Coturnix japonica: one gene and its partners. Each later gene encodes a partner of the first gene's protein in a complex. Links are inferred from orthologs where the notes say so. Each region holds a gene or a part of one and is shown in the gene's direction. Other genes may lie near its edges.

Region 1 (9,946 bases):
TGTGTATGCAACTTAGTTATACTCTGCTACCCGGCTTTGCAGTGCTGGGGTTGATGCTGTAGGTTGCAGGCTATTTCTCAGCAGCTAAATGTGTTGTGTGCTCTGCATGATGTGTTATCATTTCTTTGCTCTGAATGCAGAGAACAGTTATTGGCAAGAGTGGAAGCGTGTTATCTTTCTAAGGCTGTGAGCTCACTAGTGATGAGATGAAGAAGTATTCCTTGGGCTCTTCCACTGCATGAGACCATGTTTATTAAGGCCAGATCAGGCTACTTACCTGTTATTACATTTTGGTAACTTAGCAGCAGCAAGCTCAGGTATTGCAGCAGCTCATCCCATTGTTGCCATGTAGCTACTTCACCCTATGACAATAAATGGTATTTGGTTTTAGGAGAGGTTTTCTCAGGAGAGGCCATGCAAGGGAGAAGGATGGCTGGATACCTGGTATTGCAGCAGCACAGAAGAGTGGCCTAGAAAATAGAGGATCTTGGACAGAGACAAGGGCAGGTTTGTGGGCACATCACAACTGTGCTGGAACATCAACTCGAGCAGTTTGCAGCGCAGCAAGTTGCTCTCCATGGTGTTTAAGAGGGCTTCCCTGCAAGACAAAGATTTACTCTGATGGAGACAGCACAGCCTGACAAGGAACAACTACTTCAGTGTGTTCCTTCATCAGCTGTGCTGATGTGGATTACTGCCTTTTAGTCCCACTTTGCAGTTCTGAGGTGAGAGAATCGGTTGTTCTCAGCATCATGCTGGCCTGGTAATACTGATGGGATCTCTCAGTCCTACAGCTGTGTTCGTGCTGGCTGGGTCAAAAGTGAGTCCATCTTTCTATGCTCCATACTACTTAATGCATCCAGAAACAGGGAGTAAGACTATTGTTCAGAAAGGAAATGCTGCTTTGCACATTTCTCACCTTTGGCTCCTTACGGCAATATTCAGTAAAAATGGGAATATTAGATCTGCGATCTTACAGGAGCTGCAGTTGGGAGATCTGTCCACTTCCACTGCAAAGGACAACATCCGCTGGAGGAGGAGCATTGCCCTAGGTAAGAAAAAGAGTTAAAACAAAAACCAAAACCCATTGGTTTGCAGAGAAGATGCACTGAAGATGGCATCTAGTTCAGCCTTCTGCCTTGGAGTGAGAGACATCAAGGAATGCATCAGGTTACATTTGTTTTGCTTCCTACAAAGCCCTGTGGTGTCTCTTAGAATATATTAAATCTGATGCTCTTGGAAGCAGAGCCAATTTCCACATGGACATTAGGGGAGCTCTCAGTGGTTGTACTGAGTGTTGGTAGAGCAGCATGGGGCAGCCTGCACTGTGGGTTGAGAGCTCTGGCCTCATTTAAGAGGAAGGCATTCAGTGAACCAGCTTCCTGCCAGGCAAGAAAGTCTCTTGCTCTTTTAACCTGGTCTTTACCTGCCCTTAGAGGAAAACGCTAAGAAAGTTGACCACAGGTACAACCTGGCTTCCTTGGTAAGATGGAGACAGCAAATGGACTTGCTTTTCTAACTTGGACCCCATATTATCATCAGCAGGGAGCCAGCATTTGTGGGACTTACTTCTGGGCAATGAATGTTGGTGGAGTCAGCTGTGCTTGGTCAGTGCTGGCTGGCTGTGCTGCAGATGAGCTACCTTTGGCTTCTGCTGACAAGCGTGTCATGTCTTGTGTCTGCTCCTGCAGCTGGAAGGAGCTGACTCCTGTCACTACTGCAACCAACCATTCAACCACCTCCCTGGGACAGAAACAGGAGTGTTAGATGGGCCTGGCTTTGCATGTTCTGACCTCTAACTCCACTTGGAGCTTGAAGAAGGACTACGAGGATGAAGGATATGTTATGATTGGACAGTCTTTTCTTTTTTTGTTTTAAAAAGAAAAGTCTGCTTGTGGCTGATAATGCCCTTGCATCATCTGTGGGGTTTTTTTTTATGGTCATAAACATGCTCCTTTTCTTTATAGCTGGCCCCTATGCTTTACTTTTCCAAGCTTGTTTCTTGAAAGGTCTGAGCTGGAGTCTCAACAAACATTCCATAAGCTCCTGCCTCTCTGCAGCTAATGTAAGTATGGGAGAGGAGAACGCATCCCTTACTTGACATTGTTGAAGCATGTGTCACAGGAAAGCACTTTCTTGGTTATTGACTTCTGCAGCAGGTGCAGTCTCAGGTTTTGCTGGAAGTCATCCTCCAAGGTCTGCACCACGTATTGCAGGAAGAGGAGTCGTCCAGGGAGCTTCTCCTGAGGGCACACAGAGATGGTGTGAGTCTGATGGAGCTGCAGGGTGAAGAGCAGTAGGAAATGTGGCTTTTTGGGAATGAGGTGATGTATGTGACTGAGGAATAGTGCAGCTGTTCTCTAGGAGGGGTTGCATGGTTTCAACGATGCCCCAAAGCCTTGGCTGGGGCTGTTCGACTTGGGCTTCTGGCATATTGCTCCAGTTCAAAATGATTTTGTCTGCTGCTGTGGTTTCTTCAGATTCATCAACCTGCCTGCAGTTGTGCAGCATGTTAAGGGGTACCATGGATAAAAACACTTGCTACCTTCAGCAGCTGCGATAGAACTGCACACTGGACTGAGCTGTTGTGCAGCAGAGCAAGGCCAGGTGATGCAATGGGGCAAGTACCAGGTACTGGGAGATCCCTGCCTAATGTGACGCATGTAGTGCTGAGTACCTGGCTCTCCATGGTGTGTTTCAGCAACGTCCAGTCCCATCCTACTGTGGTGGTGTTGGCTGGATGGAGCCTGCAAGGACAACACCATCTAATTTGTGCTGAACTGCCACACTGTCTGCCTTGATGTCAAGCATCCCACCCACCCAACCCCCCCCTTCTATAAGGTAACCCTTATACTGGGCACCTAACCAGCCCCAGGGCACGGTGGCAAAGGGAACACGTACATTTGGATCTTCATCAGCAGCGTGTAGGTGTTCTGGAGGATCTCCTCCTGGTGGGTGTGCAACAGGATGTGTCTGATCAGATGGGAGATGATTTCTTTAGGAGGGCAGTGCTGGCTGGAGATGAAGTCACTCAAGAAATGCAAGGTTCCCTCCAGGAAGTTCTCCTCCATGGTGGTGCGTACCATGCTCATCTTACTGCTGGGGATGAGCTCAGGTTTCCGCTGTGTGCAAGGTAAGGCAATGGGTGAAAGCCAGCCCCCCACGGTACAGAGGAACCTAGCAGTGATTTGAGGCCCACCATTAAGAGAATTGCAATAGCCAGAGATCCCAATGGCCTGGCAAAACTTCCCCTGGAAGTTTTTCCCCTGCTCTGAGTGGACCTGGCTGGGCAGTAGCTGCTCTGAACCCATTTACCTGTGGTGTTCCCCTGTCAGATGTTGCACCGTGAAAGAAGAGGTGCTGGACTCCGCTCCTTCTGAAATAGCGCAGTTTGTTCAGCCAGGCCATGCTGTCAGAATTAGTCCTGGCTGAGGTCCCATGTCGGATTGCTCCTTGTGAGACACCTGCTTCCAAAAAAGTCCTTTTGACCTTCCCTGGGCTCTTGGTGACGCTGGCTGGAGCAGGGCTCAGTCTTGGAGGGAGCTCCCTTCGTTGGAAATGAGGGGGACTCTCCTCTATGCTGCGTGTGCTGCCATTACTGTCCAGGATGGGGGGGGGTGGTGAGAACAGCACTTGATCTGGCTGTGTGTTGGTCAGGGAACTCAAGTCAGTGTTATACGTGGTGGTGCTGTAGCTCGGTTCTTGCTTGCAGGAGAAGCTGTGGTGGCTGAAGGCAGGAGAGAAGCTGCTCTTGTTGTCTGTTTTTCCTGCTGTGTCTGTACCAGGCCATGTGGGATAGCCGTGTAAGGGTGCTGCAGGGCTCAGCTCTGTGTTCGTCTCCGTATTTTTCTTTGTGCTGAAGCAAAGCTGGGGATGAGACGTGTGTGTGATGGGGGGAGCACACAGCTGGTCCTGGGCAGTACAATCTGCAGCCGGGGGAGGACTGCAGGTGTCCTCCTTTGTCAGGTCAATGATGGGGATGTAGTTCCATGGCAGTGGCTCTGAGTTTGAGTCCTCCTGGGTGAGATCAATGATCTCCTGTGGGGACAAAAGGGTCAGTCAGTCAGCAATGATAACAGCTGGGTGCCTCGCTCCTCCCCTGCTCAACTGGGGATCCCTTAGAGAAACCCGGAGCCCGGCCATGGGCCCTGCACCCCGCTAACAGCCCCCCCTTGTATCCAGCACTACCTTCACATCCATCGCATCGCAGCACGGCTCTGGAGCTACGACACCACGGAGCCTTTTGTCAAGACCTGCAAAAGAAAACCAATTTCAATCCATGTTTCCTGCCCGCGGCCCTTCCGTCTCCCCTCGTAGGGCGCCGTGCAGCCCCGATGCCCGCTCTGCCCGCCGCGTCCCCTCGTTACCGGGCACCAACTGCCGTGACGGAACAGCGGCCGACGGATGCCCGGCAACCCCCCGCCCTCCGTTCTGCTGGGGGTCGGGGCTTCATAGGGCCGGGCCGGCGGAAGCTGCGTCAGGGCGGCGGGGCGGGCGGCGCGTTGGGGCGGGATGGCGCTGTCTCCGTACGTGCAGGCCATGCAGGAGCTGTTCCGAGCCAACACGCGCAGCCGCGAGTTCCCGGCTCACGGAGCCAAGGTTCACTCCGTGGCGTGGAGCTGCTGCGGCCGCAGACTCGCGTCGGGATCGTTCGATAAGACAGCCAGCGTGTTCCTGCTGGAGAAGGACCGGCTGGTGAGCGGGGGGAGCGGGCCGGGAGCGGGTGGGACTGAGAGACGGAACGGGAGCGGGGTGCTGGGCAGGGCGGCCACCCTGCAATGCTTCCAACACATGGCTGTGTTGGAAAGACCCTTAAGAGCCCCCCCAGCCCTGCTATGGGTGGCTCACGCCCCCTCAATCGAGCTGCCCTGGGCCCTACGCGTGGCCTTTGGCACCTCCAGGGATGATGGGACTACGGCTCTCCTCCTTTTCCAGGTAAAAGAGAACAACTACCGAGGTCACGGTGACAGCGTGGATCAGCTCTGCTGGCATCCCAGCAACCCCGACCTCTTCGTCACCGCGTCCGGGGACAAAACCATCCGCATCTGGGACGTCCGCACCACTAAGTGCATTGCCACCGTCAACACCAAAGGTGGGGCCCCTGACATTGAGAGGTCTTTGCTGCTTTTGGTTTCCTATCACACTCTGTTAAAGGGTCACGGGAGCTTGTCTGGAATCTATGGGCAAGAGGCTGGTGGCTGGGGAACGTGTGTGTGCAGAGAGATGTGGCAGAAGTCTGAGTTTACATGGATTCATAAAGCAGCCATTCTTATTAATGGGTTGATTAGCCCAGCTACCGCCTCTGGCCTAAGAAATGTGAGTCTTCCAACTGTCAGGGTTGAGAATGGAGTTGTAAGGTGGCATATCTGCAGCACTGCTTGGTCCTTGTTCACACGCGTGTACTGTTGGATGTTCTGCATATCGGGGATCACTGGGTTAAGAGGGTCTTTTGATTTGATCTTGCTTTGTGGTTACTGTGTCTAAAGGGAAGGGATGGCAATGCAGTCATATTGGCTCAAAGCTACAGCTCTCAGTTTAATTTTCAGTGCAGAGTTTCAGTGTTAAATTGCAGACCTGGCAGTTCTTCCCATCTGGGAGTGATTCAGAGTTAGCAGAGCAGACTGTGGCCTCAAATCAGAAACAAAAGCCTCCTGCCACTGTGACTCTTGCAAACTGCTGGGTGGAAATGGGACCTGCTGCTTTTCTGTCCCTCTAGGGGAGAACATCAACATCTGTTGGAGCCCTGACGGGCAGACCATTGCGGTGGGGAACAAGGATGATGTTGTCACCTTCATCGACGCCAAGACGCATCGCTCCAAAGCAGAGGAACAGTTCAAGTTTGAGGTGAACGAGATCTCCTGGAACAACGATAACAACATGTTCTTCCTCACTAATGGGAATGGCTGCATCAACATCCTCAGGTGGGTGCCTGTGGCAGCTGCTGGGCAGGGTACCAGGGTTGGCTGCCCTCGTGCATCGCTGCTTGTGGAGGCAGTTTGCACCACTCTGCTGCTTTGGTGGAACCAGAGTCCCACATCCCAGTGATTCCCAGTCACTGTGATGGCAGCAAACTCACCCTGCAGTGTTTTGTTTCACACCTGGTCCCTGCATGTCTCACACCTGCCCTGCTTGCACAGCAGCCCTGTGCTTCTCTCACTGTTTCCTGCCCTCTCCCTTCATCTCTGCAGCTACCCAGAACTGAAACCCATTCAGTCCATCAATGCCCATCCTTCCAACTGCATCTGCATCAAGTTCGATCCCATGGGGAAGTACTTTGCCACAGGCAGTGCTGATGCTCTGGTCAGCCTCTGGGATGTGGATGAGCTGGTGTGTGTGAGGTGCTTCTCCAGGTAGGTAGTGCTGTGTCGGAGCTATTTGCTCCCCTCTCTGGTGACTCCATGGGGGTTCACTCACTGTCAGCTTTGCTCTAATGCTGCAGGCTTGACTGGCCTGTGCGAACACTGAGCTTTAGCCATGATGGGAAGATGCTGGCATCGGCGTCGGAGGATCACTTCATTGACATTGCAGAGGTGGAGACAGGTAATGGTTTGCTTTTGGGAAACAGAAACAAGGGAAGCTGATGGAGGTGTGCTGGTGTGGCTGGGAGGGCACGGGAAGAAACGGCTTGGCTGTGTGCAGTAGAGCACCGAGAGGGGGAGCCTCTGCCTCATCAGACCGCTGTCGATATGCGTGTCATGTCCATGCCTTGTCACCAGGCGATTAAAAGGCGCTGAAGCAGCGTTTGTTCCTCCTCTGCCCTGCGTGGGAGGGAAGAGGCAGGTGTTTAGCTGCGTTGTGTGCTGCGGGTCAGCCTGCAGTGGAGAGCAGGAGGCTCCAGGCTGATGTGGGCCCTTTTCTGTGCAGGAGAGAAGCTCTGGGAGGTGCAGTGTGAGTCCCCTACCTTCACTGTGGCCTGGCACCCGAAGAGGCCTCTGCTGGCCTTCGCCTGTGACGACAAAGATGGCAAATACGACAGCAGCCGAGAAGCAGGCACTGTTAAGCTCTTCGGGCTCCCCAATGACTCCTAATGGAACTGCAGCAGGGCAGGGAACCAGGGGCCACAACACTTCCCCACGCTCGGGGATGGAAGAGTGCTTAGTTAGCATAGGATGGGGTAAGGATGTGGGTCCTCTCCTTACCTGCTTGTCAGTGCCGTCCCCTTTGTCTCAGCTCCACGTGTGCTGCTCTCAGAAGCATTTGTAAAAAGCAGCTTGTGTGCTGGTGAGGATGGGGGGTGCCATCTCAGGGCTGCCTCATCCCTGGGCATGGAAGATCTGTTCCAAAGGCAAACAGCCAAAGAAAATCATGGAATGTGACTGCTGGAAGGGACCTCCCGAGGTGGGAGCGCTGCTCCAGGGCAGCAGTGTGGAAGCCCCAGCAGCAATGAGCAATGATTGTCCCTTCTGTCCTCCCCCATAGCCCGGTGGTGAGGGCAGCCATGGAGCACAGCCTGCCCCCTTCCCTATGCAGAGCATCACAGGGGCTGCATGGGAGGGTGTGGGATGTGAGCTGGGGTCGTTCCCCCCCCAGCTGTGGGATTTGTGTTTTTTGTATTTGTGGTTGTTTTTATAATTTTGATAAATCCTCTTCCATAACGAAGTGCCTGCAGCTGCTGTGGACACAGGAGGAGATGAGTGGGGAAAGGAACGTGGTGCTAAGTGACTGCTCCCATTACCCCCACGGTGTGGCCGCGGGTGGGCCCCACTGGCAGGGGTCTGTGTTAAGGACTCGTCCCCATCTCGTGTCACCCCACCAGAGGGCGCTGTGCCCCCACACTGGGGACAAGATGATGAGGGATGCTGCACATAGGATGGGAACAGCCACACACAACTGTCCCCATCCCGTAACCCAGCCCTGCCCTCTGCTCCAGCTAACAGCACCCACACCAATGGAGCAGTATTGTGGTGGCAGCAGAAGGCACCTGCCTGACCCACGGCTGCCGGCCTAAGGCTGAGCTGTCCCTGTGCCCCCCATCCCCTCTCCCCCAGCGGAGCAGAGCGGGTCCCTTCCCCGCCGTGCGCTGGGTCACGTTGCAGGCAGTCACTGGCGCAGCCTGCCTGTGATGGAGACCTTGCCTGCACGATCTCTATCATTTCCTAGCCTAATATTTCCTTCTGACAGAGGCTTTTCCAGGTGACTGCACTGCTGATGCCGCCTGGGTAACAGCTGAGCTTTTTGCTGTTAAATGATGGCAAATCAGTCGAAGCTGAGGCTGGCTGCAGGCAGAGCCCTCCCAAGCTGTGCTGCATCAGGATTGCAGTGTGCCAGGGGCCCTGCTTGCCTTGGCTTCTGCTCCTGCTCTTGGGGAAACTGGGATTGAGGTGCCTCCAGCCTCAGCCCCAAAAGGTTGTGCATAGAAAAAGAGCCCTTGTACCCTGTGGGTGACTCCAGTTAGTCATGGGGAAGGGGCCCTCCTACCGTAGCCATGGGTCTGCAGGATGGGCTGCAGAACCCTTTTGTCCCCATAGAGGGCACTGGGAAAGTGGAGGCAGCTGGGCTGAGGGCAGCACTGGGGGACTATGGAAAGCCTTTCCCTCCACCTGTGGGTTTCTGGATGCCATGCAGGCTGAGGATGAATCCCGTGCCCTCCAGTAACCTGCTGAGTGGCTGGGTCTCAGCTCTGGTGGGAGATGGAGGGATGGGGAAGGTGACAGGGAAGTAATGGCTGAGAAGAGGCCGGAGCAATGTACAAATCCCTTTATTTTATTAGTTTGTCAAAGACTAGTTCGAGCAGGATGGTCACAGCATGACTGCGAAGCCCCGAGCTGCCCTCTGCCAACCGGGAAGGGCTGGGCTGAGTGGCTGGGGGCTGTGGCGGAGGAAGCATGGGGGTAAGGAGGACAGGAGCACAGTACGGCAAGGGACGGGCCGGGGCGATGGCGTGCCCCTGCTGGGGCGCAAGCAGCAGCTCCTGGGACGTACCCGGGCAGCTTTACCTGGAGGAGCTGCGTGCCCAGCGCCGGGGGGGCAGCCCGGGACAGGCTCTGCGGCCCCCAGCCCCGTACTGGGCTTATTGCAACCCGCGGGCACGGCGCTGTCAGCTCAGTGCTGCGGGCAGCCCCGGGGACTGCGGGGCTTTGGGGTTCGAGGCGTGAGCAGCGGACACGAGGACGCATGGAGCAACGGGGCGCACCCTGGCACACAGACACTAATGCGAGAACGGGGCAACGGGGCCGAGACACGGACGAGCGAGCGGTGGGGACAGCGGGGACGGGGCAGGGGGACGAGGCAGGGAGGACCCTGCCCCGCACGCGCCTTTATACACGGTCAGCGGAGCGCGGCGCCTGCTCCTCCCGGTGCTGAAGTATTGCAGTCTAACTGATATGGCTTTAACTATGGGGCCAGAGATGCGGGAAGGGGGTCCCCTCCAACCCCCCGATGCTGCGGCACACCGGGCAGCCCCGGGGGACCCCCGTGCCCGGGGATCAGGGATGGGGGAGCTGCGGGCAGGGCGCCTGGCTTTGTGCTTTGGGCTTGGCCCAGGGCAGGATGGGGTCGGGGATGGCAGTGCTGGGGACGAGGGCAGGCACGAGGAGGCCTGCCCGGGACCCCTGGCAGGTGGGGGTGTGTGTGTATGGGGGGGTGTGGGCAGAAGGGCAGGGCTGAGGGCACGGGGAGCTGCCCCGGGGTCTGGTGGGGCCTGGGGTGCCCCCAGCCCGCTGCCAGGTTACATCAGTGCATTTGGTCCCGGTTCGCCCTGTCCGGCCAGGGACGCTCCCCTTTGGCACGGCGTGGTCGGGGGGCCCTGCCTGGACAGGATGGGATGGTTTGGTCTGGTTGGGGGACGAGGGAGGGGCAGGAGATGGAGAGGGGGTGCAGGGACCCCCTTGGGGCCAAGGGAACTGATGGAAGGGGGGAGGGAGGAGGGCGCCCGTGCCCCAGAACCCCATGGCAGGGTCGGTGGTGCTGTTACTTCTTGAACATATCCTGCAGCGGGCCGGGCAGG
Region 2 (9,846 bases), on another chromosome or scaffold:
ACGCCAAGATGTAGGACAGCCAGATGCCACGGCTGTTCATCACCCGCGTGTTGGGGTTCACCTCGCTGTGAGCCACGCCGACGTTCATCTACAAAGAACCCAATGCTGATTTAGGGCCCTAATACACCTTAAGGCCCGATTTATGGACCCTTTATGGACCATTCCCAGAACATGAGGCGATTCCAGCCCTGATTCCTCCCATAATAACCTATGGAGTGGCACCACCATGCACTGGGCCTGGGCCCGGCCTATTGGGCCTGTTGGGCCTATGGGGCCTATGGAGCCTATTGGGCCTATGGGGCCTATTGGGCCTATTGGGCCTGTGGGGCCTATTGGGTCTATGGGGCCTATTGGGCCTATGGGGCCTATTGGGCCTATGGGGCCTATTGGGCCTGTTGGGCCTATGGGGCCTATTGGGCCTGTTGGGCCCGGCCTGGTCCTCGCTCCATCAATGAGGCCTCAGAACCAAAAACCGACCCTAAATCCCCCATTCTCCCGGCCTTAATCACACCCTCCCGGTCCTTCAGCCCCGCTCAATCCCGGTTCCGACCCCGGTTCCGGTCCCGGTTCCGATCCCGGCCCGTTTTACCCTCCAGCTCCGTTGATGCCGTTGTCAAAACCCGGCCCGCTCGTCTCCAGGAAGTCACCTCACTCCCGACCCGCTGCTCCCATTGGCTGCTCAGTGGAGTTTCTCCTCTACTATTGGTCATTTTGCCTGTCATTCAACATCGCCTCACCCCCCGCCCTCCGGTGGACCAATAGCAAACATGAGGAGCCGGTGGGAGCTAACCAATCGCAAGGAGCGATGTTGAAATCACCCGTTCAGAAAGCTCAGTTGTGATTGGACGCTGGGCAGCCGGCGGGGGCGGAGCCGGCAGCGAGCTGTGGGGGCGACAAGATGGCGGCGGAGACTGTGGAGCTCCACAAGTTGAAGGTAGAGGCCGCTCCGTTCATAACGGCAGCTTTGCGGTTTGGCCATCGCTTTGTACACACGGAGGGGTTTGTTATACTTGAGTTGTGGTGTGGGCTTGCTCAGGTCCCGGTGATGCTGCCGGTAACGGGGCTATGGGGGAGGTTGGGCCTTGGAGGCGCTCCGGTATCGCCTTCTATATAGGGCCGCCTTCTGTCTATAGGGCCGCGCTCTGTGAGGCCTCGGGGCCCGTTACGAGGCCTCAGGCCCGGCCTGAAATCAATAGATAACAGGGGGTGAATCTGGGCCTGGCTGCATTAAAACGGGAGTGAGGAGGAAGGAAGGAGGGAGACATTAAAGCTCCTTCTAAAGGCTGTTAAAATACGATGCTTTGATGCTGTGTTATATGTGATATGAGTGAATCCCTCCTACTAACCGGCTCCTCTCCATCCCCATCAGTTGGCTGAGCTGAAGCAGGAATGTCTCGCCCGCGGGCTGGAGGCGAAGGGCAACAAACAGGATCTGATCAACAGGCTGCAGGCCTACCTGGAGGAGCACGGTGGGTACCGGGTACCTGCGGGTCACAGCGCTCATAACCAACCCCCTGGGGGCAGATTCAATGCTGTCAATGGCGAAGAGATCCCTCAGGCAACGGCTGTTGTGTGGGGTGTTGAATGGAGCTGAGCATCCCCTGTTTCATCATCAGAAATTCATCGTTTCTTTATCTGAGAAGCCGAAGGCGTCGCTCAGTCATTTGTATCAGCGACTGACCCGCTGTTTTTCTTCTTTAGCTGAAGAAGAAGCCAACGAAGAGGATGTTCTGGGGGAAGAAATAGAGGTAAAGCTGAGGGATGGGATGTTGTGTTGGCGGTGTGCGGCCTCTGGGTGGCTGTGTTGGGCATTGATGGGCCAGAGCAGTGCAATGAGCAGCAGCAGTGCAGGAGATCTGTTGGGCTTGGGGCTGTGCTGGGCTTGGGGCTGTGCTGAGTTTGAGGCTCTGCTGTGCTTGGGGCTGTGCTGGGCTTGGGGCTGTGCTGAGCACTGTTGGATCTGAATCGGCCAGTTTTGGTGCTGGGGGCTCAGTGCTGCTGTGTTTGCATGGAGAATGAATGAGTGCACGGTGGTTTCTGTATGAGCTCGTGGTCACGATACGTGGCTGGTGTTTTAGGAGGGGGAATTCTGCCTCTTTTCAGCAGGAAACGTGCTGTTGTTGTGTGTTTGTTAACAGCAAATCTATTGGGGTTTGTTGTGCTTCTGGTAAGGAATCCCTAACAACAAACTGGTGCCCTGATAGTGGGCAGAGCTGCAGGAGGGGACTGAGCCTCAGAATTGGACCTTTATGTTCTGGGACGTACAGATATCCCAGCTTAAAACACGAGCAGAAAGCAGCTCTGCTGCTCAGCACACATCTCTGCAGGGACATATGTGGTGCATGGGAGCTCTCCCCAGTTGTCTATGAAGTTCTTGGTGGGAGAATTGAAGTGGACCTCATTGGATGAGTGTCTGACACTGAGCGTGAGCACTGTGTGCTTCTGATGCTCTTTACTTGCAGGCCTGAGAATGTCTCAGTTGGGATAATTTCCTAAGCCTGTGAATCCCAAACTGTTGGGTAAGGCTTTGGGGGGTAAAAAAGAGAAGAACAAGCAATTCCTGTCCATAAGGTTGCTCATACCCTGCATTATTGAGCAGAGTCAGACCCCATTGGGGAGGAGGAGATTTCAAGCACACAAGTAGGAGACAGCAGCATGGGGAGACGCAGCTGCTTGGGTTCCCTGGTGATGTGTGGTCTCACCAGCTGCTCTAGCATGAAATTCAGATACTTATGGGTATGTTCAGGCTGTACTACAGGCATGTTGCCTCTGAGGACCCAGAAGAGCCATTGCTGCCCTTATTGTGATGTTTTGCTCTTGCTGAGTTGCTCTCTGACCTCCTCCCAACTCGTTGCTTTGCAGGAAGAAGAGCAGAAACCAGCAGAGCCACCCGCCAAAGTAGAAGAGCCTCCTGTAAAAACGCCTGATGTGTAACTATCCCTTTCTACTTAATCCAAAGCAAAACTTGTGGGGGATGCTGTAACACAAGAGATGCATGGCAGGGGAGAGCTCTGCCTGCCCCTAATGCTTGCAGGCTCTTTTTAAGGCTCTGTGAGCCCATCCTGTGGCTGGAGGGGCTGCAGTAAGGGGAGCTGGAGTTCTGTGGCCTGATGGCTTTGCTGGGGGGGAGCTGTGTGGGAGCCCTCAGAGCGGGGAGAGCGCCTGGCCCCAGCCAAATTGCTTCCTGTGAAAGTGTCATTAAACCATTACTACCTTTCAGGGCATAAAATGAGAAACCTGTCCAGGAATCTGGAACAAAAGCAGCGCGTTTTTCTAAATGGGAGACCTTAATGAGGCTGGCTGTGACCTACTGTTTTATGGGAGTTTTTTAGAGGAGGATGATGCTATTTCATTTAGCCTGGGAACTTCCGAACTTTGTCTCTTCCTCCTTTGTTTTTTCCCCCCCCTCCCCTCGAGCCCAAGCTCTGTTTTCTGAGCATAAACTTTAGAGCACGCCCACTCCATTATATTTTTGTTCGCTCTTTTTACTGGTCCTGCTGTTGTCAGCTGCACATTGTTCAGGAAGTGTGTGTTTGAAATGGAGCCTGAGCCCAGGACGTTGGTGCTGACCTGGGGAGAGCTGCCTGGGGCTGTCCCATGAACTAGAACAGAATGATCCTTTGTATTTCGGGGCCATAAAGGAATAAAGCTCCTCAGGGCACGCAGTTGAGACTTTGGGCTTCTAACAGGAGCTGAATGTTGCCCTTAAGAGCTTTAAGATGTAGATCTGGGTGTGCGGATCTACAGCCTCTTGCTGTAATACCCACCCCACGTGCTCCTGCAGCACCCCATTGAAAATGCAGGATGTTTCTCATGCCTTAAATAGAGTTCATCCTTTCTCCCAGCCTATGTGAGTGGGTGTGAGTGCTGAGGGTGGTTCTTGTGTGTGCTTTGGGGGCTTCCAACTTGTTTCCCATCATTGCTTAAGGAACTCAGGGCTGCTGAAGGCACTCACTGAGCTAGGAGGAGAACTGGTGGCTGTGTCTTCACCAGCTCATTTGTTTCCTTACACAGCTCAGACCTCAGACTCCAGCATCACTGTCAGGGCTCTCAGCCTGCTCTTGTAACAGGGATGCTGACTGTTCCTCTTGAGAACAGAGCTTGACTTGAGGTGATGCTGGGTTTAGGAGGAGAGCCCTGATCTCTCTCTCATTGAGATGTGCTAATGGGAATTCTGACTGATGTTTCTCTTTCCCAACACTTGTAGGAGCACTGAAAAGAAAGTAGTGAAAATAACATCAGAAATCTCACAGATGGAGGTAAGGTTCCTTCTGCTGCTTCACCCTCATCCCCAAGGTATCACTTGGCTTGTTTGCTTCATTCAGAGTCTCTTTTTTTTTTTTACATTGCTGAGGCTTTGTCAGTGTTTGCACACATTGCAAACCATTATTTTGGCTTGGTTAATTAATTGGTTATTAATGACCAGGCTGCGGCTGCGGGCTGACCTAGCAGCAGCATGCTGACCCCACAGCACGTTCCGTTTTGCTGTGATCTTATGGAATGCTTCTCTCTGCAGTCTGGAGGTGCATCCTTCCTTGCTGCCATTTCTGACCCTACGTCGATATTTCCAACTTAGAGACAAGCTGAGCTGCTCCTGGTGCATCCTTCCATTGCAAAGATGGCTTAGTCTGATAGATATACACTGTCCCATTATAACTCCACTGTCTAAATTGTGCTGCCCTTCCTGCTGCAACATTCCCTGCAGTGATCCCCATCTGTGTCCCTCAGGGCTTGCTGTAAGCCTGCTTGCTTCAAACACCAAACTACAAAGCTTTGCTGAGGATATCCTTCAGGGAGCAATGAGTTTGGGAGACACTAACAGATCATCTCATCTTTATCTTCTGTAGCTTTGTCACTTGTATTTGCTGGGCTTATTTAAAACAAACACGCTTAGAAGCCTCTGATTCCTCTGGGAAAGCTTTGTGAAACTCAAAGTTTCAGGGATCTCACTCTGGTTCTCTAATCACCCCCCCCCCCCATTTTAGTTTTCCACTCGTGCTCCGTAAGAAAGCAGTCAGTATGAAAACATGATTCTTGTCTTCCTGCTGTTCGCTGCTGCTTTCGAGCTCTAATCTCCTGTTTGGGACAGGAGCATTTCCACAGCAACCACAGGGGGATGTCGCAAGCAGAGGATTATGACCTCAGCTGAAGGAGTAATGAAGAGCAACGTGGTACCTGGTGGAGGATTGATGTCCCCCTGTGATTCAGGGCTGCCCTTGGCCATAGCAGCTTAAAGAGCTCATTAACAGACCTGCTGACGTTACACACTCATCCTTTGTTGGGTTTTATTCCCCCCCCCTTCAAATTCCATAGAGCCAAATGAAAGGAAAACCACTGTTTTGGTATTTTATGGGGCTGTGTATGAACTGAATGGCTTCCAGCATCATTCAGATCTGTTAGAAGAGAGCATCGAGTTATTTATTCCATACGGTGCATCGTTGATTGTTGGAGGTGGGCTGCTCAAGTTGTAGGAAATATTGACCACTTCATAAAGCAAGGAGGCAGGTGACTGGCAGAGAAGCCCAACGAATCTTTGCCAATTGCCAAGCCTACTCTTGTTGAGACTATTATATGCTATACATGTTTAATACTTCTGAACATCAGGACCCATAGGACTGACAGGAGGAGGGCTACCTTCAGTCATTGCGCCTGGTTATATGGCTAAATAAATATTAGCTGGCTTTGCTTTACCTGTTTTCAGCAATAGCAGAATATTGAAAGGCTTCATTCACTGATGGAAGGTCAGAGGGGTCATTTCTTTGTGGGATGATCTGAGCTGTGCTGCCACTGCCTTCTATTGGGCTGTTGATCCAGCATGGCTTTTGTGTGGCCGCCCACTCTATTGGATATTTCTTTTGGATACCCTTCAAAGAGCGAGGATAAGGAAGTGTGCTTTGACCTGAGCGGTGCCACGTCTTTCTGTCTTCCAAGTGACTTCTCAGCTTCGGCGCTGACACCATTAGGAGTGACATTCCTAACCCATCTTCTCCAAACATTTATGTTTTGATGCAGATGTTTATTGCGCTCCTCGCTGAGCTTTTGGCCAAAGGAAATGTTTCCCTGAATATCGTATCTTGTTTCTCTAATCTCTAAAACACCAAACGCATTTCTGGGCCCTTGTGTAATAACAGAATGTGAGATATTTCCTTTCAGCTTTTAAAGGGGATTCGAATGGTTTTTTGGTGCACTTCTGATGTCCCCAAGCCTCTCTGTGTCTCGGGCACACGCACATGGAAGCGTTCGCCCATCCCTTATTAAGTCCATGTGCCTCTTTCCATTTCCTCTCTATAGACTTCCAGTCCTCACTCTCCTTCTCTGGATTCTTTTTCTCCCACCTCCAGAGAATGCAGAAGAGAGCTGAGCGCTTCAACGTGCCCGTGAGCCTGGAGAGCAAGAAGGCAGCGCGTGCAGCTCGGTGAGTCCCCCATCCTCACCTGGCACAGGCAGCAGCTGCATTGCTGCAATGAGGCTGTTTTCCCTTTGAAACAAGTGAGGAATTGCTGTTGGCACATATAGGAATTACTGTGGTAGCTCCATTAGCCAGTAATACCCACATCCCAGCTCCTCTCAAGCAGTCGGACTGAGGTACACTTAAGCATTTGGAGGAAGAGTCTGTGCTGTGCTTACTGAAGGCTTGATGTATTAGATACCCACCTCATGTTTGCTTGGGTCTCTCACTGAGCTCTGTTTGCTTTCTGCAGGTTTGGTTTGGCCACAGTTTCGACAAAAGGTGAGAAGGTGAAGCTGAACCAATTCATGGAGTGACCTTACTGCAAATATTTATTTATTCCTGGGAAAGAAAAAGTTGCTGGTGAGGCTGTCTTTGTTTTACCATCTGTCCACGCCCAGGGTTTCTGAGCAGGAGTTGTAGAGCTGGGATGAAAAGCATGTGAAAAGTCTTATGGGTGGGAAAAGCTGACTTGGGGATGACATTTGGAGGCTCATCCTTGAGTGAATGGTGTGGAAAGAGGGAGAAATGGGACAGCAGGTCTTCACTGGTCAGACTGGTGTGCGCTTCCAGCAGTGCTGTGACTTCATTGCTCCTCTTCTCAGATCAATTGCTGCTCCAGATATTTGCTCTCTAACTGAGTTTTCTGTTTTCTTCTCATCTCAGGCCTCTCTGCAGACAGCAAACCTACGGTAAGAGATGCTTCTTGTTCCTAAATTGGTTGTTCTGAGCAGTCTGGGTTCTGCTTTCAGGCCCAGCTTCCCAGCAGCACCAGCTGAGTTTTGGGGGAGCACAGCACTGGGGTTGTATTCTGGGGGCTGCAGCACAACCTTCTCCCCACAATGTGAGCGACAGTGATTTACAAACCAGTTTCCTGTGTCTTTGTAGGTAAACATGGATAAATTAAAGGAAAGGGCTCAGAGATTTGGCTTGAATGTCTCTTCGCTCTCCAAGAAGGTAAGGTGCATTGGCCTCCAGGATACTTCTTGCACCTCCATTGGAGCCCAGGGCTCGTAGCACACAGCGGCCGTTCAAAGCCTCCTCACTGCTGGAGGTTTTACGTCGTGTTATTAATGCAGCAGTGTGGGTTCCAGGGCCCCGGGGGGACTCTTGTCAACATCATTTCCTTCATCTTTCCCTCTGTTTGTTTTGTGTGAGGCTTAATATGGTTTGGTGAAAGTTGTGACGGTTGAATAGAGGTGTCGAATTTGAAGGTTATAGGGCTGGTTTGGACGTGGGAAGGGAGGCTGTGTAGCAGGTTGTGTAATTGGTTTGGTTTTGGGTGTTTTAAGTGCACATTTCTGATTGGGGGTAGAAACCAGGTCTGCAGAGAGCAAGCTAAGGAGCTCTCCGAAGAGAAAGAGGCTGGAGCTCCCTGGTAACTCTTTGAAGTACAAATGAGGTGGATTTTGGAGGGGGATAAAATTGGTTTTGAGGCTTTGGAGATATTCCCACAAGCTTCTGAGCACGGGTTGCCTCCAGTCCTTGTGTGTAGGAGCTGATTTCATTGATACCTTTGTGTGTTGGGCAGGGGGATGCAGGGCACGCTGGGGTCACACGTGGCTGTGGTCGTTCCCTGATGAGCCAGGAGAAAGTGAATGCAGCATGTTTAGGTCAAATAGGAGGGTGGGTGAATACAGTGAGATGAGAATGGTGGCATCCTGTGTGCTTCCTGAATGGAAAACGGCCCCGTTCCTCTTCTGGCCTTTAACAACCCTTGTGCTGCAGCACTGCTCAGAAATAGTGGGGGATGCAAACGAATTGTCCAGCCATAACAGCTGGCTGATGTTGGCATGGAGATTTCTCCTCTCAATCTGGAAAAGGGTAAGAGCTCGGGGAGGTTGATCTTCCTGCATCCCTGCAAAATGAGCCCCTCTCCTCCTCGGGGGGATGGATTTGACCTTTTTTGCTGCCTGTTTCTCTATGTATGAGCGTTCTGCTTTATTCCACCGGCCCTGGGAATTCACTGATGTAGAAAATATCTGGCATTGGAGGTCGCTGTTTCCCGCCCCCCCCCCCCCTCCCTCCTCTGTCCCTTTGGGGGTGGGGGAAGGAGGGCAGTGCATTAAAGCCGGGATACATGGAGCTCAGGGTGAGAGGCTGCTCAAACATCATTAACCCTGTCACCAGGAGCTCCCATTTTTCAGGAGGAATATATGCCCTGTCAGTGTTTTATGGCCGTGGCCTTCTCTGGTCAGGACTGTGTGTCCACAGCTCAGCAACTGGGAGCAAAAAACCCCAAAGCCCAGGGTGCAAACTGGGGGGCTCTATGGGTGCTGCTGAGCTCCTCCTGCATAGGTGGAGCCTCAGCATCGGGGCAATGCCATGCCCAGGGCCATGAGCCTGCTCACCAGCTCTCCCTGCAGCTTCCCCACTCAGCCTTTGTACCCACCTCTCTGTGCAGTGTCCTTTTATTCCTATGTATTTTGTTTGGGGGGGTGGTTTTGCTCCACCAGGAAGTCGAGTTCACGGGCTTAGAAGTGGCTTCTCCCACTGAGCGGAACACACTCGCATTCCTGGGAGGAAGATTATTGGTTACTTTAATTAGCTGGTAGCATTGTGCTTCCCACCTGGGTGTTCTTTATAGCTTTTCATTACGGGGGAGCCTGGTGGTTGCAAATGTTTACATGTGTCTTGGCAGGTTTTTATACCATACGTTGCAGCAAGGAGAGAGGGGGGGGGCAAAGAAAAAACAACCAACCCAACTTTACAATAAAGCATTGTCTCCACGGAGCCACACTTCATTTCCCATTCAAATTGGTTTGGGGAGGGGTAGGGATGTGAGGGGGAGAATCGTAACTAAGGGGGGATTTCAGCCCCGCTGTGAGCAGGGAGCAAATGCGGAGCTGTGTTAGTGGCTGTGAACTCATCTGTAGCTTTGAACCCCTTCCCCCCCCCCCCTTCCCCCTCTGTTAGCCCTCTGGGGTAGAAATCTTTCAAGTTGAAAATCCTCTTCCTCTCTGCCCAAAGGGGGAAGCTGAGAGCGCAGCGCTGGAGCAGGGCAGGGAAGCTGGGGCTGCACGGGAGCAAGAGAGAGGCAGGTGCTCATTTGTCTCAAGGCAGCACGGGGCCATCAAATTAATTTATAAAATAAATCAAGCAAGCGTTTATCTCCCCGTAGCACCGACTCTCCCCTTCGAGGCCTCCTGTTAAAGCACACGGCTCTTCTGACCCACAGCTCCCATCCCTTGACTCCTGTTAGCTGTACTTAACCCCCCACACTTGTAAATGTTCCCTCTCTGCGGCAGCTGCTCCCTGTGCCGCTCCGGCTCCGCTCCCCAGGGGAGTGATGTGGAGCTTCGTGTTTTATATGCAGGGTTGGATGCTGCAGAGGGGGTTGCCCGCGCTGAGGCCGCGGTTCAGAAGCATCTCTCGGAGGGGATGCTTTGCTCTTTATG
Region 3 (9,946 bases), on another chromosome or scaffold:
ACAAACTCTTCTTCTTAGTCCCTATTAGAATCTCAATCAGTGTCCATGTCTTCCTCTGAAAACTCTGGAATGCCACTGGTGATCTTCAGGGCACAGCGCGAATGCTACCAAACCAGTGAATTGATACATTGAGGAAGGAAAACATAAATACATAGTAATAACATACTGAAAACATCCTGCCAACAAAGAGACTACCAGATTAGTGACTAATTCTTTCAAAACAGTTCCAAATGGCTCCAAAAAAATAAATGGCTGCTTCCTCATAACATGCATGAAATACAAAGTGTCACCCAAAAATTACCCCGAAGCCATTTTAAATCACGTATCACAGAGATAGCATAGAACCTCCTATGCAGCACACACGCAGCTGGAACTTCTGGGGTTAATGATTTTTACACCAAGAGAAAAATCAAACTACCTAATACATCCTGCTGCAGTTTCATGATACTGAGTTCTACAAGATGCATGTTAGAACACCTTGATGCTCTCACCAAGCAGGAACCTACAGTCCCAATGAGCATTCTTGCTCTCCCTTCTCTTGTTATAATATAACACTATGAAAACGTGCTAGCTCTGTGCAAACACATGGATCCGTGTTAGGAAAGCTTTTTACAAGGCTACGAATCACACTGTTTAGACAAAAATAAATGAATAAAAAGCTATTTTTTGAAAAAATAAAAAAATAAAAATCGGTCCTATCTGCCAAGAGTGAATATTTTAACATCTGCAGTTCGTACAGAATAAGATGGCAATCACTTGAAACACTGCTGCTGATTTGCAGTAAATACTGAGGGTAAAGAAGCCAAAGAAGAATGCAGACAAAACGTAACAGTAATTTACAAGAGAAAACAGGGTGACAGCAGCAGGTCAGCTCAATATCAGCCTTGCAGAAAATCACAGAATACAATCAACAAAGAACTAAAGGGCGGTAATGCTAAACTTAGGCTTACAGAAAATAGGTCTCACTAAATAAATTTGGTGTGACTTTCTGACAAGAATATAGGTTGGACTGGATAAAAATACCCTGTAGTTTCTGACCTACTATACTTAGATCTCTGTAAGATTTAATGCCACACAACAGTCTGATTTAGAAGTTATTCAACACGAAGAAAACCTGGAATCTAAAACCACCTCATGAATTATTAGGGCGGCTTAGGAAAAATATTTTAAATCCACCTCATCAATAGTTAAAGACGTTTTCTTAGCTCTAAAAATCATAGCTCATTATACCCTTGAATACTATGAAAAGCTTCTTCACCTTTAATTCTTTCTGCAGTTGGAAAGTATGTATATATATATATATATATATATATATATATATATACACATAGTTAAAGGGGAGGATGTATAAAGTCAACTTAAAGTCTGTGAAATTATTTCAGAGCTTCTTTTCAAGAGAGAAAACCTCAACACTGACAGATTTCTTCAATTAAGAAAATAATAAAGTGTACTTCAAAGCCATTTTTAGGAACAAAAAGAGGATAATGATGAAAATCTGAGCCACTTCCACATGTGTAACAACCCAATGCTAAATGTACCCAGCTTACACTGTATCCAGGGACACCTGGAAACATTACAGAGGATCATTTCACTGGTTAGACAAGGACAGGTGTGTAACAAATTATTATTAACATGTGGCACACGTAAAGGAATCCAAGGAAAGAGGAAAATCTACATCATGTTTAGCTTGGTTGAAAGCTTGCACAGGTACTTATTCCAAATTACCTGGCATGGAGGAATATGCTTTGCCTTGCGCAAGACATTTTTTCCTACCACATGGATCTGCAATACTGATTTCTTAAGGAAGGTTCAATGCTATGCAGTATTTCTGCCTGTTAATTGAAGGATTTATATAAAAGACTGTAGCTGATGGAATCTGCACAGAATGCAAGAGCTGGTGAAGGATAAATAAGAGCGAGTCAAGCCCGTTCCAGAGACCTACATCAAACACTGAATTAATGCAGAAAACATCCTTGGCTACAGCCTAGCGCAACATGCACCCCATACATGTATTACAAAGGTTGTTTTATACTTACAAGATGAGGAACTCTGCTTGGAAGTGGAGCGAACTGAAAGAAGACTCCAAAGACATAATGAAAACTCAATGAGTATAGAAATCCAGCAAGCTGGAACTGGCTTCTTAGGCAAAACACCTCGTGGCAAGACAGAAGAGCAAAGACAGCAGGATTTAACATCAATATGTAGCCTTAGTGAGATTCTTCATGATGTGTTTAGCAAGTTCCAGTTCCCATTTTGAAACAGGAAAGTTGATGAACACTGATGATACCTGAAAGCTCTGTCTTAGAATGAAAAAATAACAGCTAAATTCTTACCATAAGACCCAGGACAGAGCATTTATGAGAATGCTGTAATCAGTGACACCAATGAAGACAAGAAAGGCGTAAAAGTCATTAAAAATTATTAACTAATTATACGGACTGTTGTGTTCTAAATTAATTACTCCAGGAATTTGTCACTGTGGAGAGCTGAATAAGGCTATCTGACCAACACTGGAATGATAAACAATAAGTGGGAAAATATTAGATTAAATGGCAGAAAATGACACAGACGTATTCTTGCATTATTAAACAAATAACTGACAGTTCGCACCCTCAACACCCAACAGTTCTGATCAACTTCTCATCACAGTAGAAAAGGAAAGAGCTAAGAGAATGGCATGAATAGTATTAAGTGTTGATAAGACCAGGATGCTCCAAGATGCTGAAGATAGGAGATCTAAGTAGGGTAGGAAAGCGCCACTTTTCACATCAAATTATATCACTCACAAATCACGCAGAGATACATAAAAATATCAAGAAAGCAGCATATTTACCCAGTTTTTCTACACTGGAAATACCTTCAATCCAGATGGAGCTTTAATGACCACTCTCTGTAGCCCTTCCCAATAGTGCCTCGCAAAGAACCTACCAGGTGCCACTTCACAAGTCAAAGTGCTGGCTTGCAACAATCTAGTAATATGTAAACCCCTGTTATACATCTCTATCCAGAACAAAAGAACCCGTCGTCACTCAGGGCTCTAAAACCAGGAAGATGGAGATGACACTACATGCTGACACGGTTCTTTCTTCCTTACACCCATTTTCTCTTAATACACAGCAACAAGCAGAATGAGTCTGCATGTACTTAGTGTCCAACCAAGAGGAGAAGGTAATGCCAAGATGTCAGGGCCTGGACATGCATCTCACATATCATTATTGTACCAATGTATCTTAAAGTAACATTATCAACTTTAGCATGGCACAGGTGTCAACATTTTGGTCCAAAAGGCGAAAACCCAACACTTGATCTCATCCAACAGCTTAATACCTCTTTTCTCCCGGCACACCCCAGCACCGGTTCACTTTTCCATATAGGAACAACCCGCTCTGGTTACCACCCACAGCACAGCACCCCAGGAAACACCTCAGGAACAACATTCCACATCCTTCCCTTGCCCCAATGCTCAGCCTCTTGTGTCAAGCCACACACCAGGGACTCATCCCAAGCGTGACCCGAGGCGCTCAGCCCATCTCCCCTCAGCCCACAGCGCCGGCCCCACGCCTCGATGCCAGGCGTCGAAGGGCGAGGGCCATGTGCCGAGGGCATGGCGGGGCGGCCCAGGAGGGGGGCGGCGGGGTCGTGGGCGCGGTGGTTGGGAGGTGGAGCCTGGCTGCGGGCGCGGGGACCTCCGCTTCCCTCCCCCGTCGGCCTCTCACCTGGCGGGGCCGCCCCTCGCCAGGGGGCCGGTTCCGCGCGGGGTGCGGGCCTCCCGGCCGGCCCTCCCCGCCGATGGGCCGCGCGTTCGCCGCCAGCCGGCTCAGGCCCCAGCCGCCGCCGCCGCCTCCCCCTCCATGGCCGCCGCTCTCTCCGGCTGCATTGTGGGAAGCTGACCTCACTCGCTGCTGCCGCCGCCCCGCCGGCTCCGCCGCTCGCCGCCATGGGGGCCGTGACCGACGGTGAGACCTCCTCCCTCCTGCCCTCCCTCTCGCTGTCCCCGCTCCGGGTTTCTCACCCCGGGGAAGCCACGCACCCCTGCGCGGCGGCCTCACCCCGCATGGAGCGCTTCCAGGCCGCTCCGCTGCGCTCAGTGCCGGGGCCTGGGGCTCCATCGGGCCTCTCGGGCCCAGCCTCCCTGCCGATCCCAGGCCCCGCGTATTGAACGCGTTTTATTTCACCCACATTCTGCTGGGTGAGCTCCTGCCGTGCCACACGCTTCCAGCACGGAGCGCTAAACACGAGTTGTTTTTTTTCCCACAGATGAAGTTATCCGCAAACGGCTTCTCATTGATGGAGACGGAGCTGGGGACGACAGGCGGATCAATCTGCTGGTGAAGAGTTTCATCAAGTGGTGTAACTCTGGATCTCAGGAGGAAGGGTATTTGTTGGCTGTTTTTAAGTCTTGAAACCTCATTGCTTTGCAGTTGAGCATAAAACTGAGCATCTGTTTAGACAAAGAAAGTAAACTGTGTTAAAATGCATCCATTTGGGCTGGATGTGGCTCTGGGCTCCGGTGGTTGGCAACCTTGCACACAGGAGGGGGTTGAAACTAGATGATCATTACAGTCCTATTCATAGCCATTCTATGATCTCTGCTATGTTCAGCCCTGTGTGGTTCTCTGGACAAAGCCCAGGAGCTGTGGCAAGAAACATGCACTGGAGATGGGTCAAAAATTACAGAGCAAACCATCCTGAAATCTAACAGCGAAGGCTCTGGAGGTTGGCACGTTGCTTCACGATTCAGCAGTCCCATTATTACAGCAGGATCACGACTTGAGTGTTCCATTTGGTGGCTCTGCATTTGTTCTGTTAGGTGGGGGCTGTGCTGCTTCTGCTGTACTGCCCTGAAAAGAAAGAAGAAAACAAACAGGCCAAAGAACTAAAGGTTAAGCAACATGTTGTTCTGCAGTAGGGTCTGTGCCGATGCTGGAGTGCAGGAGGGCACTCTGTGATGATGCTGTGCACAGAGAAGCACTGGAGTGTTAAAATATTAATCGTGGTGGGCACAGAGCTGGCTCTAGTTGGGAAGAGTATCATCCCTGGAGCAATCTGCCCATGCTGTAATGCTGCTTTATACCTTTATGATGATAAAATTAATCGGTGCAGCATTCATTTTTAACTGTACTTTTTGCAGTTGTGCACTGAATCTTTGAAGTCCTTTATTGCTTTAGTAATTGCTGTTTTAACTGTTCCGTACATTACCTGAGGCTTCATTTTCCTCGTGATATAAAAACAGGCAGGTATTTTCATGCTGCTGAGGAATAAATGTCTTGTTTGCTTTCAGTTACAGTCAGTACCAACGAATGCTGAGTACTTTATCGCAGTGTGAATTTTCAATGGGAAAAACTCTTCTGGTGTATGACATGAACCTGAGAGAGATGGAAAATTATGAAAAGATCTACAAGGATATAGGTAAAAAATGAGAAAAAAAATATTCTATGCTTATTTGAATTTCTCTTTCATAAAGAAACTCAAGTCAGTTCTGATAAACAAAATGTAAACATGAGATGGGTGACAGAAAAACTATTTTAATACCACTCATACTTGCCCTCGTGTTTTGTCAGTGTGTAAAATGTGTATAAGTAAAATATGTTTTTAGTCTGTCAAGGCATAGATGGTTTTGAAGCCCGTGGAGATAGCAGGCAGTATAAAATACAAAGTGCTGTTTGTGATGATTTAGCTGAATGGATTGATGGCGTTTGTTGTTTGATTTGTGTCTTTCTGTTAAAGAAAATAGTATAGCTGCAGCACACGAGAAGATTTCTGAATGCAAGAAACAAATCCTGCAAGCAAAAAGAATTAGAAAGAATCGCCAGGGTAAGCAGCATTATCTACACTGGGTGGTTTTATTAATGTGTTATCTTTTAAAATACATTGTACTGGAAAACAGATGACATATTTCTTGAAAACTCAGAAGAAAATGCTCTCCATCGATGCTACATAGAGCATTATCTGGTAGGTTCCACACAGACTGCTGAAAGTTTGGTTGTTGAGGTTAAGGCAGTAAATCTTAGTGATGTAACATGAGGAGAACTTAGAGAGTAGCTCAGAGGTGTTCTCAAGCCAAAGAAACCCTCCCAAGCATCCTTTGACAATTCAGTTGGCTTAAGAACTAAAGCACATTAGTAGCAGCAAGACAAAAGAGTTAAATAAGCTTACAACCAACACTGAAAGTTATATAAGTATATTCCTTCAGCTCTTTAGAAGGAAAAGTAGTACCTAATACAAGAACAGTTGTACCAGTTGCATACTCATTTTACATGGCCTTGCAAAATACCTCTAAACCAGGTATTACAGACATCTGTTCCTTATCCTTAAAAGACATACTGATATTTTTAGTTGAAATTTAAAACATTGCCCTGTAAGTCTTATCAAAATTTAGCAATTGGGAAGGTAAAATTTTGCTTCCTAAAAAGTGAAATGTAAAAATAGTTGAAAAGAAAGAAAGAAAGACCAGCTGTAACAGGTGAAAGGTTTTAAAACCTTTAAAAACACATGCACATATGATTTGTGGATAATGTTAGACTCTATTATTAGAGACTGAAAAAAGCCTTAAGCAGTAGGAAAGTAGAGTACTTAAATCTTCACAAGCACGGATCTGAAGTGTTTGCTTTTGAAGATGTTCTGCCCACGTTTTCCATCTGAATGTGGTGGTTAGTGTACATAGAATAGTACCTTCAAGAACTGTCCACCTTAACTGTCTATATAACCATCATGTTGTTCTTTGTGTACAAAACAAAGTGGAAGAAAGCTGTTTCTCTTGCAGCATTTTATTTTTCTCTAAAAATCTGAAATGTCTGTGTAGTATCCTATCCACAGATTTTTCTATATATACATTATATATATATATTAGATTATATATAAAAGCAACACTAGTCATCTACTTGGATATGTTCTATTATATTATTATACATTTTTGCTTGACTGTTCCTTTGTTATATGCAAGATATTATGTAGAGATTGGAAAACATTAAAACACTTTTTTAAGAAGTAGAAAGAGCTGATGGGAGATTTTGTATTCTTATATCGCTACCTTCAGAACTTATACTAGTAATACTTAAATTTCTTTCAGAATACGATGCATTGGCCAAAGTCATACAGCACCATCCAGACAGACACGAAACACTGAAGTAAGTATAAGACTGCATTAGATTATGATAAACCAGCAAATTAAAAGTCAGCAGATTTGACATTTTCTTGGTTTCACTATTTGACCTTTTCCTCCCTGTTTCATAGTTTCTTTTGATGCAAGAAAAACTTGTGTTTCATTTTAGAATTGTGCCCTTATCAGCTTTCTTCCTTTGATCTCTATCTGTATGGGTTCAGAAGCATTACTAATAATTTTGTATTTGAAGTTTTTCCATTGTTAAGGTGAATGGATGAACTCAGATGTAAATGCACGACAGTTTATCAGTGACAAGTTGATCAGGAAAGAGAGATAGCGCGGCAGTGCTGTCAAGTGCAGCAGCAAGTAATCATGCAGAATGTGTATCACACAGGCAAGTAAGATAGAATAAGAATTAGAGAAAGCAAGAGAAAGCTTGTGGAGTTGTTCCGTGTTTTCCTTCTAGTAGTTGTTCCTGCATGCCTGGTTATAAATTACTACCTTGTGTACCACAATATAACTTGCCCTGACACGTAGGTAAGACCTACCTGTTGTCCAACTCGTCCTGCATATAACCTCCTGTATTACATGTCACAGCTGGGTTTGGATCACTACCTGTGCTTTTGAGTCATTTTGAGCAATCACGAGGAGATCATCTTTTGAATACTATTAAGCCACAGAAACATTCCAGGATTCATAGCATCTACAAGTTTGTTCTTCTTTACCTGATTAAAGGCATGACATCGGATTACTTTCTCATTTAAATGTAGCTTGTTCCTATCCTGCTGTCAGCTTTCAATGAAATTGTAGAGGGAAGCTATTATTTCACGTCCCATGCTGTTTTATAGCAGAAGAAAGATTTTTGATCATGTTATTTACCCTAATATTAGCAATTTGTCTAGCTATAAACTTCTGACACTATTTCATTCTTTCTCATTTATTTTACTTGGATTTCATTACCTCAGTCTTGGTTATCACAGTTCATTCTCTTGTAGCTATTTCTTACTTCACTAATCAACACATGCCACTTATCAAGGGTTCATAAAAAAGGATTATTGAAAGTGAAGCTTCTCAGATATGTCAGTTGATTAAGAATGGAAACAACTAATGGATAGGGGTTTTTTTGTTGTTTTTTTTAAGGTGCCAGATTGTTAAGATTTGGGAGGGGAGGTTGCTTTAATTTTGCACAACACATCCAAATGTCAGTATCTTGAGCAGAGCTGTAAATGGCAATAAGCTCAGCTAATGAATTTAGCAGTTTGGCTTTTCTTAAACTGAATTTCTTATCTCCTTAGAGGAGTATATTGTTAGAAATACCCCTTTGCTCATGCACTGTAGGAGTGTCTACAACATACCCCCTTGTGTCCTTAAGTCCTTTATATCTGTAGTCCAAGACATGGACTTGAACTATGGCAGAGTCTCTTATTTTACTGATTTTACAAATCAGACATAGAGAAATCAGACATTGAAAACATTTTTATAGGTATTCCAGCTTTAACTGACTTCTCTACGTGAACACTAAAAAAAGGAAGCCTTGTAATTAAAACACTTTACATAGTTTCTATCTCTAGTTTGAGAGAAAAATATAGAAAATCACATACTGTGAATCAGGAGAAACCACCCCTTAAGTAAGTCAGGATGCAGGGAGACTCACTAACAACTCCTAATCACTAAAAACTCTAGAGAAAACTTCTTGTCAAGAGAAACGTCATGGCGAATTGCAAGAGTTACATTTATAGCTTTAGCGAGTCATACAGCACAATAGGACAAAGTTCAGAAAAAGACTTTTTTTTTATGCTTTTAAGGGACTATTTCTTGGAACAACGAGTCCTGCAGCACAAAGGAGGAGAAGTTGTTATTGACTTAGTCATGAGTAATGAATAGTAGCCAATTCAGGAAGTGACTGGAGCTGAGCCTCTAAATGGCAGTGCCAGTGTAATTAACTGCCTTATCAGAAGAGCTGTTACAGCACGAAGCAATGACACCAGTCTTAGAAAAGGAGACAGAAAAATGAGAAGATTAGGCAAAGATTTTCCAGAGCTGAAAGTAAAAGAAGTAAAACATCAGGTATAGCTTGGATGTTACTAGAAAATTGCTTGTCTTCTTGCTGCTTGCTTATAGCTGACAGCAATGCGTAAACAATGTTTGGTGAAACAGAAGCCTTTCAGAAACTGGAAGCCAGATACTAGAGAAATCATTGCACAAGCCTATAAGCTGTCAGCCTGTTTCCATAATAGGAAGGTTTACTATGCCACACCCAGCCATATTTAAGGCATTCCCCTCCAGATACCAGTGTACTACCTCAGGAATAGACAACACCCTCAGGTTGTATTAAACCAGGGCTTTTTCCCAGCCATCATGACTGGAAGCCCTTTTGTGATTCCCTGCCCAGACTAGTTGCAATAGCTCTCAGCACTTCAGAAAAAAACAACTTTGTTCCCTTGCTGACCTGTATGTAGCTTTGCCTGCTAATATCAGCCTCAATCCACCTGACCTGTAAAAAAAAGAGGTTGTTCTCATCACATGGATCATATATTACAAGAGACATTACAGGAAAATGAGAAGGGCCAAACTGGATGCTTGCTTCATCCTCATTTGTAAGCTAGTCTGCAACGTGGTACCTATTATTCTATGCTATTCTGTATCTCAGAAAGGATTGTAGTGGACCAGATGAGAATAGAAAACTATCAAATGCATGCAGAAGGGTCCTGAAGAGGGATTGACAGATTACATATGCAAAAAAGTTAGAAATAATGACCAAGATTACATGTGTTGCATACTTCCTTTATCTCTTAACCAATTAGAATAATAACCGGGATGGGAGAAGAAAATTAGAGAGTATTT

The links.
Region 2: THOC3 (region 1) and SARNP share a complex: the UniProt entries of both Homo sapiens proteins name them as parts of the transcription/export (TREX) complex. The link is inferred for Coturnix japonica from reciprocal best matches to the Homo sapiens genes THOC3 and SARNP.
Region 3: THOC3 (region 1) and THOC7 share a complex: the UniProt entries of both Homo sapiens proteins name them as parts of the transcription/export (TREX) complex. The link is inferred for Coturnix japonica from reciprocal best matches to the Homo sapiens genes THOC3 and THOC7.

Annotation. Positions count from the first base shown.
Region 1 is NC_029528.1:12,221,479-12,231,424, forward strand, and holds THOC3 (THO complex subunit 3), read left to right. Parts: upstream 1-4,407; 5' UTR 4,408-4,512; coding exon 4,513-4,695; intron 4,696-4,935; coding exon 4,936-5,092; intron 5,093-5,716; coding exon 5,717-5,921; intron 5,922-6,188; coding exon 6,189-6,350; intron 6,351-6,439; coding exon 6,440-6,540; intron 6,541-6,864; coding exon 6,865-7,028; 3' UTR 7,029-7,599; downstream 7,600-9,946. Other genes in the region: SIMC1 (SUMO-interacting motif-containing protein 1), read right to left, coding at 278-362, 442-598, 920-1,048, 1,570-1,743, 2,098-2,243, 2,678-2,747, 2,902-3,122, 3,316-4,038 and 1 more; CPLX2 (complexin-2), read right to left, coding at 9,910-9,946. UniProt on the Homo sapiens protein: Component of the THO subcomplex of the TREX complex which is thought to couple mRNA transcription, processing and nuclear export, and which specifically associates with spliced mRNA and not with unspliced pre-mRNA.
Region 2 is NC_029544.1:1,003,088-1,012,933, forward strand, and holds the start of SARNP (SAP domain-containing ribonucleoprotein), read left to right. Parts: upstream 1-804; 5' UTR 805-898; coding exon 899-934; intron 935-1,369; coding exon 1,370-1,469; intron 1,470-1,701; coding exon 1,702-1,748; intron 1,749-2,862; coding exon 2,863-2,930; intron 2,931-4,207; coding exon 4,208-4,259; intron 4,260-6,341; coding exon 6,342-6,415; intron 6,416-6,701; coding exon 6,702-6,730; intron 6,731-7,114; coding exon 7,115-7,140; intron 7,141-7,336; coding exon 7,337-7,405; intron 7,406-9,418; coding exon 9,419-9,601; 3' UTR 9,602-9,846. UniProt on the Homo sapiens protein: Binds both single-stranded and double-stranded DNA with higher affinity for the single-stranded form. Specifically binds to scaffold/matrix attachment region DNA. Also binds single-stranded RNA. Enhances RNA unwinding activity of DDX39A.
Region 3 is NC_029527.1:10,987,340-10,997,285, reverse strand, and holds the start of THOC7 (THO complex subunit 7 homolog), read left to right. Parts: upstream 1-3,846; 5' UTR 3,847-3,937; coding exon 3,938-3,956; intron 3,957-4,257; coding exon 4,258-4,375; intron 4,376-5,281; coding exon 5,282-5,409; intron 5,410-5,727; coding exon 5,728-5,814; intron 5,815-7,069; coding exon 7,070-7,127; intron 7,128-9,946. UniProt on the Homo sapiens protein: Component of the THO subcomplex of the TREX complex which is thought to couple mRNA transcription, processing and nuclear export, and which specifically associates with spliced mRNA and not with unspliced pre-mRNA.